Linked DNA regions of Oryctolagus cuniculus. The protein of the gene in region 1 purifies or fractionates together with the protein of each later gene. This does not show direct contact. Links are inferred from orthologs where the notes say so. Each region holds a gene or a part of one and is shown on either strand. Other genes may lie near its edges.

What was found. The genes of interacting proteins can lie anywhere in the genome.
Region 2: the proteins of KIFAP3 (region 1) and KIF3B purify together in Homo sapiens (co-immunoprecipitation; 7 studies listed by BioGRID and IntAct, counting the BioPlex papers as one, with this or other methods). This does not show direct contact. The link is inferred for Oryctolagus cuniculus from reciprocal best matches to the Homo sapiens genes KIFAP3 and KIF3B.
Region 3: the proteins of KIFAP3 (region 1) and KIF3C purify together in Homo sapiens (co-immunoprecipitation; 3 studies listed by BioGRID and IntAct, counting the BioPlex papers as one, with this or other methods). This does not show direct contact. The link is inferred for Oryctolagus cuniculus from reciprocal best matches to the Homo sapiens genes KIFAP3 and KIF3C.

What each region holds. Positions count from the first base shown.
Region 1 is NC_091438.1:27,937,663-27,941,437, forward strand, and holds part of KIFAP3 (kinesin-associated protein 3), read right to left. Parts: intron 3,286-3,775; coding exon 3,131-3,285; intron 543-3,130; coding exon 487-542; intron 1-486. UniProt on the Homo sapiens protein: Involved in tethering the chromosomes to the spindle pole and in chromosome movement. Binds to the tail domain of the KIF3A/KIF3B heterodimer to form a heterotrimeric KIF3 complex and may regulate the membrane binding of this complex.
Region 2 is NC_091442.1:25,496,238-25,500,012, forward strand, and holds part of KIF3B (kinesin-like protein KIF3B), read right to left. Parts: coding exon 3,772-3,775; intron 3,202-3,771; coding exon 3,096-3,201; intron 1-3,095. UniProt on the Homo sapiens protein: Microtubule-based molecular motor that transport intracellular cargos, such as vesicles, organelles and protein complexes. Uses ATP hydrolysis to generate force to bind and move along the microtubule. Plays a role in cilia formation.
Region 3 is NC_091433.1:176,830,232-176,834,006, reverse strand, and holds part of KIF3C (kinesin-like protein KIF3C), read right to left. Parts: intron 3,448-3,775; coding exon 3,329-3,447; intron 2,953-3,328; coding exon 2,836-2,952; intron 2,565-2,835; coding exon of another isoform or gene 2,498-2,564; exon of another isoform or gene 1-2,497.

The DNA of each region.
Region 1 (3,775 bases):
ACAATAATGCTCCACAGATCCAAGATCAGAGAAATGATAGTTTGTGATCAGCATACTGCGCTTTATAAAAACAGACAAATTTGCAAAGAACCTACAGCAGTTATCTTTTTATAAAGGAGAATATTAGCTTTTAGGGTATAAAGACTCTAATTCAAAAGTATAAACCATATAATACGATAGAGCATATGTAAACTCTAAAATTTGTTTATCAATATAAAGTATCTCACATATAATTCAAAGTAACTTGAATCTATTACAATATATTTAACAATATTTCAAAATATATTGTAACATTCAATTATGCTTCAAAGTACAACCACTAACTTTTGTGCTTATCAGTAAAATACTGACTTCTACCTTTTTCAGGTCTTCTAACTTCAACAAGTTAAAATTCCACTTCTGACTAATGTGATTGAATGCATTATTTTTTGTAAAAGGCAATTTCATAATCAGTACTCTATTAGATCAGAATACATACAGTCTTACCTCCATTCCTTCAAAAGGAGGTGGATCTTTAGGCTTGCTTGATTTTTCTTTTTTTTCTGTAAGAAGATATTTTTTAATCAAGAGAATTAGGTTTTCAAGGTTTTGGGGTAATTATTACCCACCTCAGTTTTACTCTAGCTAAGCTTGGAATATTAAAAATATTTTATGAAATCTGTTTTCATGTATGAAAAATGCTCATCTATAACCCATCTTTTCTAATGAGAATAAAATCAATAACTAATATTCAATTTATGTTAGAAATTTTAACTTCCTCCTTGGTTAACTTTTGGAGTACACAATAAGACTTGCCAACAGAAGGCAAAAGAGTCAATTTTAAGTATCCCTTTTTTTTCTTCTTAATTCAAGTTCAAGTTGGGAAAGGAAAATTAATAAAGAAAAGAAAATGATATGACCTGAGTAAAATAAAAACTAAAGTGAAAATTGAAAAATAATTGATTGATAAATTTATAACCTAATTTTTAAAGGTTTATTTTATTTATTTTGAAAGTCAGAATTACATTAAGACAGAGATTTCCATTTGCTTGGTCACTTCCCAGATAGCTGCAATGGCCAGAGCTGTGCCAGGCCAAAGCCAGGAGCCAGGAGTTTCATCTGGGCCTCCTACATGGATGAGAGGTTCAAATGCTTAGGCCATCTTCCACCGCTTTCCCAGACCATTGGCAGGGAGCTGGATCAGAAGTGGAGCAGCCAGGACATAAATTGGTGCCCATAATGGTGTTGGCATTGCATACGGAGGTTTTACTTACTATGCTATAATGCTGACCCAAAAATCTATATGTGCTAATTTAATCCTCATTTATTTCTAAATAAATATAGTCACATCCAAAGGCATCGAACATGCTGTCATTAAATTATATTGAATTAATTGGTTAATAGCATAATTTCATTTTCTAACATAACTTTTGTTTGCTCTGAAAATTGAATGAAAGGGTTTTCACTAGTTTAAAGAAATTCATATTTCTCTATAAATGCCTTCATAATTACATTAAAATGGCACTAGGAAATGTCACAATTGAGTACATTATGCGACATAAGTATATACAAAGTTTAAGGACTATTGTGTTTACTTTACTCACTTTAAATTTATTTGAAGACACTATCATTCATCATTCATTTTCATTTCAAAATATCACAAAATATTTGCTTATAAAAAATATTCCTTTACATTTCCTGACCTAGGTAGCACTTACTATCAACAATTAACAAGTATAAATGAAGTGTAAGCTAAGTGAGTAGAAGGAATCAAGTTCAAAATGACTAATTTTGCTTTTAAATAAATTTACAGCCATTCAACTTATTCAACACATATACAATGATAATATGATATGTATTAAGCATTATATTGGGGACTAATAAAATGATGATATGTATTAAGTATTATATTGGAGACTAATACATACAATAAGTATTAAGTATTATATTAGGGACTAAATTTACATACATATCATGCACAAATTATTTATTTTCTGTAAAAGAAGAGAGGGCTTGATTAATTTGACAAAAGTCCAAGTTGCTGGCCTTGTGCCATAGCAGATAAGGATGCCACCTGTGACACCTGTATCCCATATGGACGCCAGTTTATGTCCTGGCTGTTCCATTTTCCATTCATCTTCCTGCTGATGGCCTGGAAAGAGCAGGGGAAGATGACTCGAGCATTTGGTCCCTTGTTACCCATGTGTGAGACCCAGATAAGACTGATGGCTCCTGGTTGCAGGTTGGCCCAGCTGTGGATGTTGCAGCCATTTGAAGAGTGAACCAGTGAATGAAAGATCTGTCTGTCTCTCTCTGTAACTCTGACTTTCAAATAAATAAATCTTTAAAAGAAAATCCAAACAAAATCTCCTTTCATTTCCCCTCTACTTACCACAATCAAAATCTGAGCAATGGCGTGATATTTGAAGAGCACGGTATTTCAGAATTCATCAATGTTGAAAGATATGTACGTTTAGCAAATATTATAAAATGGAATAACTGGGCATTTGATAATGTGGAACAACTTTTCATTAAAGTGGTTTTGTTTTTTCATTTAGATTATTTGACAATGTCTTCTCTAAATAATTATCTCAGCTCTATCATCTTAATAGATTGGATCTTTAAAGGAATTCAGGATAGGTGAATGGCAATAGACATACTGAAGAATGAAAATGTGCTATTTTCCTAAGAAATATTCATATAAATTCTATCTTTATATTTTTAACTTTTAAATACTTAATCCATTGGAACTATAAATCAAATGTAATTTAAAAATTTTGAACACAAAAGTTTAGATGGATCAAGGAAACAGGTTTGTCGATTCCAAATTTTCTCACTTCTTCACTTTTCTCACTTTCTTCACTGTCTACTTCAATTATTCTAGAATCAGTAAAACAGACATTTGTTTTTTATTAATATTTCAGTTAAATGTACAGATATAAAGTAAAACAAAATTAGAGCATTTTATGTGGAAGCATCTAATGTAAAGGCTGGCATATTGGAAACAAATATTTTTGCTTATTATTTCATTTGCTCACTTACTCACAACATTGGTAAAAGAAATATCCTACCTAACTTTCAAAAGTGTCAAAAGTACAAACTCTAGTCAACTACTCTGGTTTTGCATTAAAGTAAGAATTCTTCTTCTTACCTTTTCCTGACAATGAGTCTCGGCGGTTCTGTAGATAGTACAACAGCTGTTCTACCTCATTGAGTTTTGAAGGATGAATGAGCTTACATTCTTCAACTACTTTCCGTGCCAGGGAAGTTATATCTGTGTTGGCATTGAGACTCTTTAGACGTATGCTGCAAGTATATCAGAGTTTTCCAACTCAGTATTATAAAAGTAGGTGATAGCTTCAATAATACTACTTTAAAATTATTTAGAGATTATAAATTATTATAGAGTCTACCTGTAGCTGGCCATAGACTTACTAAAATATAATAAACTATTAGATATAGTTAGGCTTAGAAAATAAAAAGCAATGATTTTCTTAGAGCTGGACAAAAAAAAAATAAGACAAGGAACATAAAATTTTTTTCTGACTCTCCAGGTAGTACAGCATATATAAAGGTCTTGTTTTAAGGAAATATTTCTGATAAAATATATAGTCTTCTGTCATTTTTGGATATGAAAATTCATAGTGCCACGAATTTTCTTGACTATATCTACAATTCTTTTCTTCAGTAAAGACAAGACAAAATATTGACACTTTCAGATTCAGTTGCTCTGGTGGTAATTATACAGAAAGTAGAACAGAAAAAAAAAGTGAAATTTATTTTAAAGCCTATATGA
Region 2 (3,775 bases), on another chromosome or scaffold:
TAGCCGTGGCTCAGCCCTAGCTGTCGTGGACATCTGCGGAGTGAACCAGCAGACAGGAGATCACTGTCTGCTCTCTGACTTTCAAATAAATGAATAAAAAATGTTACAATAAGTACTAAAATCAGATTGGCCCTGCCTCAGGCTTGGCTGTGGAGACATCCTGTGGTGAGCCTTTCCTGGACACTGAGACAAGCATACTGAGGGAAGAGCACCCATGACTACGCATGCGACCTTCTCCTCTGGCTTTTCTCAGTGGGGCCTGGCCCCGGGGCTCCACAGGGGCGGGAGGGGCCGCTGCAGGAGAAAGGTGGGCAGAGGCAGTGACTCCACTGATCAGTTTTAGATGCTAAGCCCATGCATAAAACCCTCCCTGATGAAGCAGGTCCACTCTGAGAACACCTGACAGTCACAGCTTTAAAGTCCACCTTTGAGGGCCGGCGCTATAGCGCAGCAGGTAAAGCTGCCGCCTGCAGCGCCGGCATCCCATAGGGGCGCCAGTTCGAGTCCTGGCTGCTCCACTTCCGATCCAGCTCTTTGCTGTGGCCTGGAAAAGCAGTAAAAGATGGCCACCCTTGGGCCCCTGCACCACATGGGAGACCCAAAAGAAGCTCCTGGCTCCTGGCTTCGGATCGGTGAAGCTCTGGCCATTGCAGCCATCTGGGGAATGAACCAGCGGATAGAAAATCTCTCTCTCTCTGCCTTTCAAATAAATAAATAAATAAATCTTTTAAAAAAATAAAGAAAGTCCACCTCTGGATTAGGTCAGTCCCAGAAAGCCACATAGGACTGGACTTGTGGGCTTCAAAGTCACGTTTCTGGCTGCAGCCATGAAATGACTGGCAAGATACGCCCATGTGAAACTGCTAGAAAAACGCCTCTGAGCATTCCGACACCTACCTAGTCTTCTACAATACATACCCCACCTAATAAATCTTTTTTTGTTTTTGCTTTCTTTTAAATAACTTGGGGCCTGGAAGAATGGCACCTGAGAAATTAACTAATGTGTTTTGCTCTGGCCACCAAAGGAGATTAAAAAACATTTTTAAAATTTTATGTTAGGGGCCGGTGCTGTGGCACAGCGGGTTAATGCCCTGGCCTGAGGCACTGGCATCCCATATGGGCGCCGGTTTGAGTCCTGGCTGCTCCACTTCTGATCCAGCTCTCTGCTGTGGCCTGGGAAAGCAGTAGAAGATGGCCCAAGTCCTTGGGCCCCTGCACCCACATGGGAGATCCGGAGGAAGCTCCTGGTTCCTGGCTTCGGATCGGCGCAGCTCTGGCCGTTGCAGCCATCTGGGGAGTGAACCAGCCAATGGAAGACCTCTCTCTCTCTCTACCTCTCTCTGTAACTCTGTCTTTCAAATAAAAAATATTTTTAAAAAATTTATGTGAAAATCTTCCATTATAAAAATAATACAAGATCCCTGTTGATGGTTTTAAAATACAGAGAAACAAAAAGAGGAAAACTCAGGGGGCAACTTTTGGGCGCAGCAGTGAACATTACTGCTGGGATCACATATCCCATACCAGAATGTCCACGGCAGAGTCCCAGCTCCGCTTCTGATTTCAGCTTCCTGCAGGTGCACACCTGAAAGGCAACAAGTGATGGCCCAAGCAGCTGGGGACCTGTCACCCAACCGGGAGACCTGGATTGAGTTTGAGGGTCCTGCTTTGGCCTTGGCATTTAGAGAGTAAACCAGCAAATAGGAGTTTTCTGTCTCCCTCGTTCTTTCTGCCTTTCAAATAAATAAAAATAAATTTTGAAAAAGAAGAAAAGTTAAATTGAATATACTTCCACCAACCAGAACTAACCAGTTCACACTTTGATGCACTTTATACCAAACTTTATAATTCACATATACACTTCCAATTCAACTTGGTTTGCAACTTAACTATAGGTTGTGTCCCCGAGTTCATCCATTTACAGCTTCTGGAGCTGAGAGCAACAGAACTGACTGCCCAGAGGAGATGGAAGAGAGCAGTCCACACTGGGTACAGTCTAGCACACAGTGAGTGTTTATAGCCAGAAGCTTCTATGGCATTTTAAAATAATTATTTGAGAGGCAGAGACAAAGAGCGAGATGCAGGGAGCGCTCCTATCTGCTGCTTCACTCCTCAACTGCCCACATCAGGCTGCAGCTGGCAGCCAGGACTCAATCCAGGTCTCCCACGTGGACGGCAGGGACCCAAGCGCTTGAGCCACCTGCTGCCTGCCAGAGAGTGCACTAGCAGGAAGCTGGAATTAGAAGCAGAGCTGGAACGCAAACCAAAGGCCTCCCACACGGCATGCAGGTGTCTCCAGAGGGGTTCGTAACTGCTACGCCAGCGCCTGCCTCTCCCATGGCATTTTTATTGTAAAATATTTTAGGTCGTTAAATAGTCCTGTTGTGTCATCTTAAGTGACCACACGATGGACACATGTAATGTTGCATGGAAATAGCTAAAGTTCTTCAGCACAGGTCCATCTCCTGTTGCTAGACATCAAGGTTCCTCCCACGGAGCCACTCGGAAGCTCACTGTTAACAGCTACGGCCACTAACAACAGCATTTGTACGCTCCTCCTTCCCTGGTTCCAGTTTTCCAAATCTCATTCTATTTTACCTTTTTATTTATTATTATTGTTATATACTTATCATTGGTTCTTTTTTTTTTAAGGATTTATTTATTTATTTGAAGGTCAGAGTTACACAGAGAGAGGAGAGGAGCGGCAGAGACAGAGAGAGGTCTTCCATCCAATGGTTCACTCCCCAGATGGCTGTAACGCCCAGAGCTGAGCCAATCCGAAGCCAAGAGCAAGGAGCTTCTTCTGGGTCTCTCATGGGGGTCCAGAGGCCCGAGCACTTGGGCCATCTTGTACTGCCTTCGCAGGCCATAGCAGAGAGCTGGATCAGAAGTGGAGCAGCCAGGACTCAAACTGGCGCCCATACGGCATGCCGGCACTGCAGGCGGCGGCTTTACCTATCATTGGTTGTAATTATCATAAAGGCCTTAAGTATCTCTGCAGGGTTCCCACTCTATGGCTCAGTAAAATGCTGCCTGAGGGCCCACACAAGTCTGAATCCCTCTGAGAGGACGAAAGCCAAGGACAACCTTCTCACCCGGTATCGGGCCTCCGGACGGATCATCATGGACATTCTCGCGTGCTGGCTCAATGGCCTCTTGTATCCCACGGCGGAGACCGGCCGCTTCATCATCTGCTGATTCCTGGGGACAGGGTGCAGTGGTGAGGGGCCTGGTGGGAGTGTGGCTAGGAGCCCCCAACCAGTCTGTGGATCAAGCTCTCAGAAGACTTAGCCAGGGAGAAAGTGAAGCAAGCAACTCCCTGGGCTGAGGGCCGACACAGTGGGCCAGGAGCTGCTTCTACCATCTGCAGGAGTTGTTTTCTGACTCCCACGTGAGCATCATGCATTAGTAAGCTGGGAGGGGTCTCATCATCCAGACAGCAGACACAGAGCATTGCTGTCCACTCTCCTGGCCTTCCCAGTGGACCCAGACTGACACACAAGGTAACACTTGTTTGGCCTGGCATGCTGGGTAAAGAGATAAGCAGGGACTTGGGAAAGGTCCTTAGCTTACTAGTGACAAAGTCTCCCAATTCCTAATACCACACTCACCAAACTCTTACCTCGCGGACTTACAGCAGCCGTGCAGTCAAAAATGCAAGGGGCTCGGAGTTTAAATGAATCAAACTGTCTCACCACCTTGGGCAGGACCAGCTTATCAACCTTCTTCCCCTCCGCCCCACCTTACAGGCCACTGCTTAAAGTAACTTACTCCA
Region 3 (3,775 bases), on another chromosome or scaffold:
TAGTGGGTAAAGCCACCATCTGCAGTGCTGGCATCGCACATGGGTGCTGATTTGTGTCCTAGCTGCTTCATTTCCAATCCAGCTCCCTGCTAATCCACCTGGGAAAGCAGCAGCAATAGCCCAAGTGCTCGGGCCCACTGCACCCACATGGGAGCCCCAGATGAAGCTCCTGGGTCCTGGCTCCTGGCTTCAGTACGGCCCAGCCCTGGATGTTCTAGCCATTTGGGGAGTGAACCAGCAGATGGAAGATCTCTCTCTCTCTCTTTCTAACTCTGCCTTCCAAATAAATAAATAAAACTTAAAAGAAAAAAAAGAGGCATGAAGAAACACGACAATGGGGAAGAGGGGATTATCACAAAGGACATTGTTGGGGAACAGACAAAAATTAAAAGTAAACTCACACTATGTTATTCTAGAATCCCCATCCCCTGAAGTGGATTATTGCACTGCAGTGACCTAAAAGAGCGTCTTCATTCTCAGGAAATGCAGGCAAGGGGCCAGGCGGTCCACGACTCAATGCCAAATGATGGGGGGGGGGGCAGTAAGGGAAGAATTAATAATGTTGCAAAAGTGTTAACAATTTGATGAAGGGCTCAAAGAAATTCTTTGTACTATTTTTTTTTTTTTAAGATTTATTCATTTGTTTACTTTGAAAGGCAGAGTTATACGGAGAGGGGGAAACAGAGAGAGAGAGAGAGAGAGAGAAAGAGAGAGAGAGAGAGAGAGAGAGAGGAAGAGATAGCTTCCATTTGCTGGTTCACTCCCCAAATGGCCACAATAGCTGGGGCTGGGCCAGGCCAAAGCCAGGAAGTGGGAGCTTCTTCTGGGTCTCCCGCATGGGTAGCAGGGACCCAAGCACTTGGACCATCTTCCACTGCTTTCCCAGGCGCATTAGCAGGAAGCTGGGTCAGAAGTGGAGCTGTCAAAACTCAAAGCAGTACTCATATGGGAAGCACACATGCCAGGTGACAGCCACACCAGCTGAGCCACACAAGCCCCAGAACTTTTTTTTTTAAGATTTAATTATTTGAGAGAGAGAGAGAGAGTCCACCTGCTAGTTCACTTCTCAAATGGCCTCAACAGCCACATCTAAGCCAGGCTGAAGTCAGGAGCCAGGAATGCCATCTGGGTGGCAGGGCCTAAGTACACTATTGCTTTCCCATGGGTATTAGCAAGGAAAGGGATCAGAAGCAGAGCAGCCAGTACCATAATATGGACTGCCTGCATCACAAGCAGTGGCTTAACCTACTGCACCACAATTCTGGCCCCTCTTTGTATTATTCTTACGTTTCAAATTAAAATGTTAAAAAAAAAAAAAAAAAGAATGTTGGGCCAGAGTTGTGGCACTGGGCTAAGCCACCACCTGTGATGCCAGCATCTCACATAGGCATGAGTTCAAGTCCCAGCTGCTCCTTCTGATTCAGCTCCCTGCTATTGTGCCTGGGAAAGCAGTGGAGGGGAGGTCCAAATACTTGGGCCTCTGCCACTCATGTGGGAGACCCGGATAAAGCTCTTGGCTCCTGGTTTCAGTCTGGCCCAGCTTTAGCTATTCAGACCATTTGAGGAGTGAACCAGTGCATGAAGATTTTCTCCTCTCTCTTTCTCTCTCTCACTTTGTCTTCCAAATAAATAAAAATCAATCTTAAAAAAAAAGTCACCTTACAGCCTCGCCTCTCACCCCATCTGACACTCAGCATACTGATGGCATGACTACAACCAATGTAAAAAAATTTCCCCCACCTGCAAGCTTGCAAGCCAGGCACTTGCATGAGCACCAGATAACCAACAGAGCAGAAACCCCACCAGCATCCGCCTCTAGCAAGCCGCACTGCAGCAGTGGGGTCGAAGCCTGGCCTCGCGGCAGTCACCTGGACGCCTTGAGCAGGAGGAAACCACAAACCATGAGCCCTGAGATGTAGCAAGAGCCTGCAAGTGAGGCTGTCTGTAGCCCCGCCTCACGGGCAGTTCTGGCTGTGGCCAGGGTGAGGAGCTCTGCAGCACACGGCGTACGGCTGAGTCCCTGCTTTGGTTAGGAAGGCGGGTTTGAGTCCAAGATGACAGCAGTGGAAAGTCCTCTACCGGTGGACTTGGCCCTTACACACCTGTGCAGGGTCACGGTGGCTCAGCCTTTCAGGAACTGGATTAAGCAGGCATCCAGTGCTCCCATGAGAAGCTCCAGACCTCTTGCCAGCTTCCCATCCCAGATTTGGGGACTTGTGCCCTAGCTTGGCAGTCCTAGGATAGGGAGAGCGAAGCATCTTCCAGAAGCGCCTTGCTGTCCAGCCTCTGAAGCGGACAGTGGCTCAGCTGGGGGAGGCAGTACCTCCGCTGGGCTTGAATAGCCTATTGGCTTGCTATTCAAGGCCACCAGCAGAGGGCACTGCACACCCAGCCAATGGACGCAGCTGCCCATCAGCGCTAGGACGCGGAAACAGGTGGAAATGCTGACTCACCCAGCTGAAACCGGCTGGAGAGGCTGCATGGCACCTCTGCCATGTCACGATCCAGTTACTTCTCTGTATTCCCACTGGACTGCGAGCCGTCTGCAGGATCTCATGCAGTACCTGACACACAGTAGGGCTCGGTACATGCTAGCTACAGTTGCTGTGTTTGGCACCTGCACCCCAGGCCAGTGCATCTCATTTCTTTTTACAGAACACCCCTCCTGCATGGAGATCCCTGCACACTGGGTCCCAAGCGTCCTCCAGCTGCGTCCTCCCTAGCTCTTCCCCCTGCCACACAACACCTGTCTCCCTGCAGGCTGGGCCTCAGGCCCCTGAGCAGCCCCAGGCCAAGCCTGCCAAGCCCTGGGTGGACACCAGGTAGGGGACTCACGCTCCAGCTGGCACCAGCGGCTGGAACTTCCACTGCTCCTCCTCGCAGTCCAGGAAAAGGCGGTTCATGATCTTGTTCTTCTCCTCGGGGGGGATGAAATTCTCGATGATCAGGTACCTGCAGGCGGGACAGAGGTGGGGATGCAGACGGCAGTGCAAGGCTGCCTAGGGCCTGGGGGCTGAAGGGTCAGAGCAAGGAGCGGAGAAGGTGGGAAACCAAAAGAGCTGGGGGAAGGGGTCCTTAACGTCTTAAAAAACACACTGAATGCAAAGGTTGAAGGTGTGGGGCCAGCACCCAGCATGCACTGGGGCTCAACAGATGCAGACAGCAGAGATGGCGGAAGCTGCAGAGGTGGGCCTGTCCCTGTCTCTCAGGCACACCTCACTCCTTCCACATGGACCTGGGCGTGAGGGCACCGTCAGAAGGGGGCCTCTGGGAAAAAGAAGCATCTGGCAGGGGACCCAGAGCAGTGGGGAGCAGCGGGGGCCCCTACTTGAGCTTCAGTTCCCGGGTCTGCTCGTTCTGCGCCTCCTCCAGGTCCTGCCGCACGCGGATGTACTCGTCGTGCTGGTCCTGGATCTCCGCCTTCACCGCCTGCAGCTTGGCGTAGAGCTGGGTGGGGACACAGGCAGCTCAGAGGCTGCTCGGGGCTGCAAAGGGGCTCCGGTCCACAGGCTGGGCCCTGAGGACGCTGGGGAGCCCGGCCCGAGCTGCCCGCTGCTGCCCCACCCACTGGGAATCTGGCCCGGCCACTCAGAGGGCTGCCCTGTGCCCCTTCACTGAGCCGGTGGCCCCGACCTGCCATCCGCACCAGAGATGCTCAGACTGAAGGGAACTTTGGGTCTGACCTTTTTTACAGATGAGGAAGCTGAGGCTTAGATTTGGCCAAGATCTGGCTGACTTGTGCAAAGAGCAGGAACTGGGACCTGGGCCTCACTTG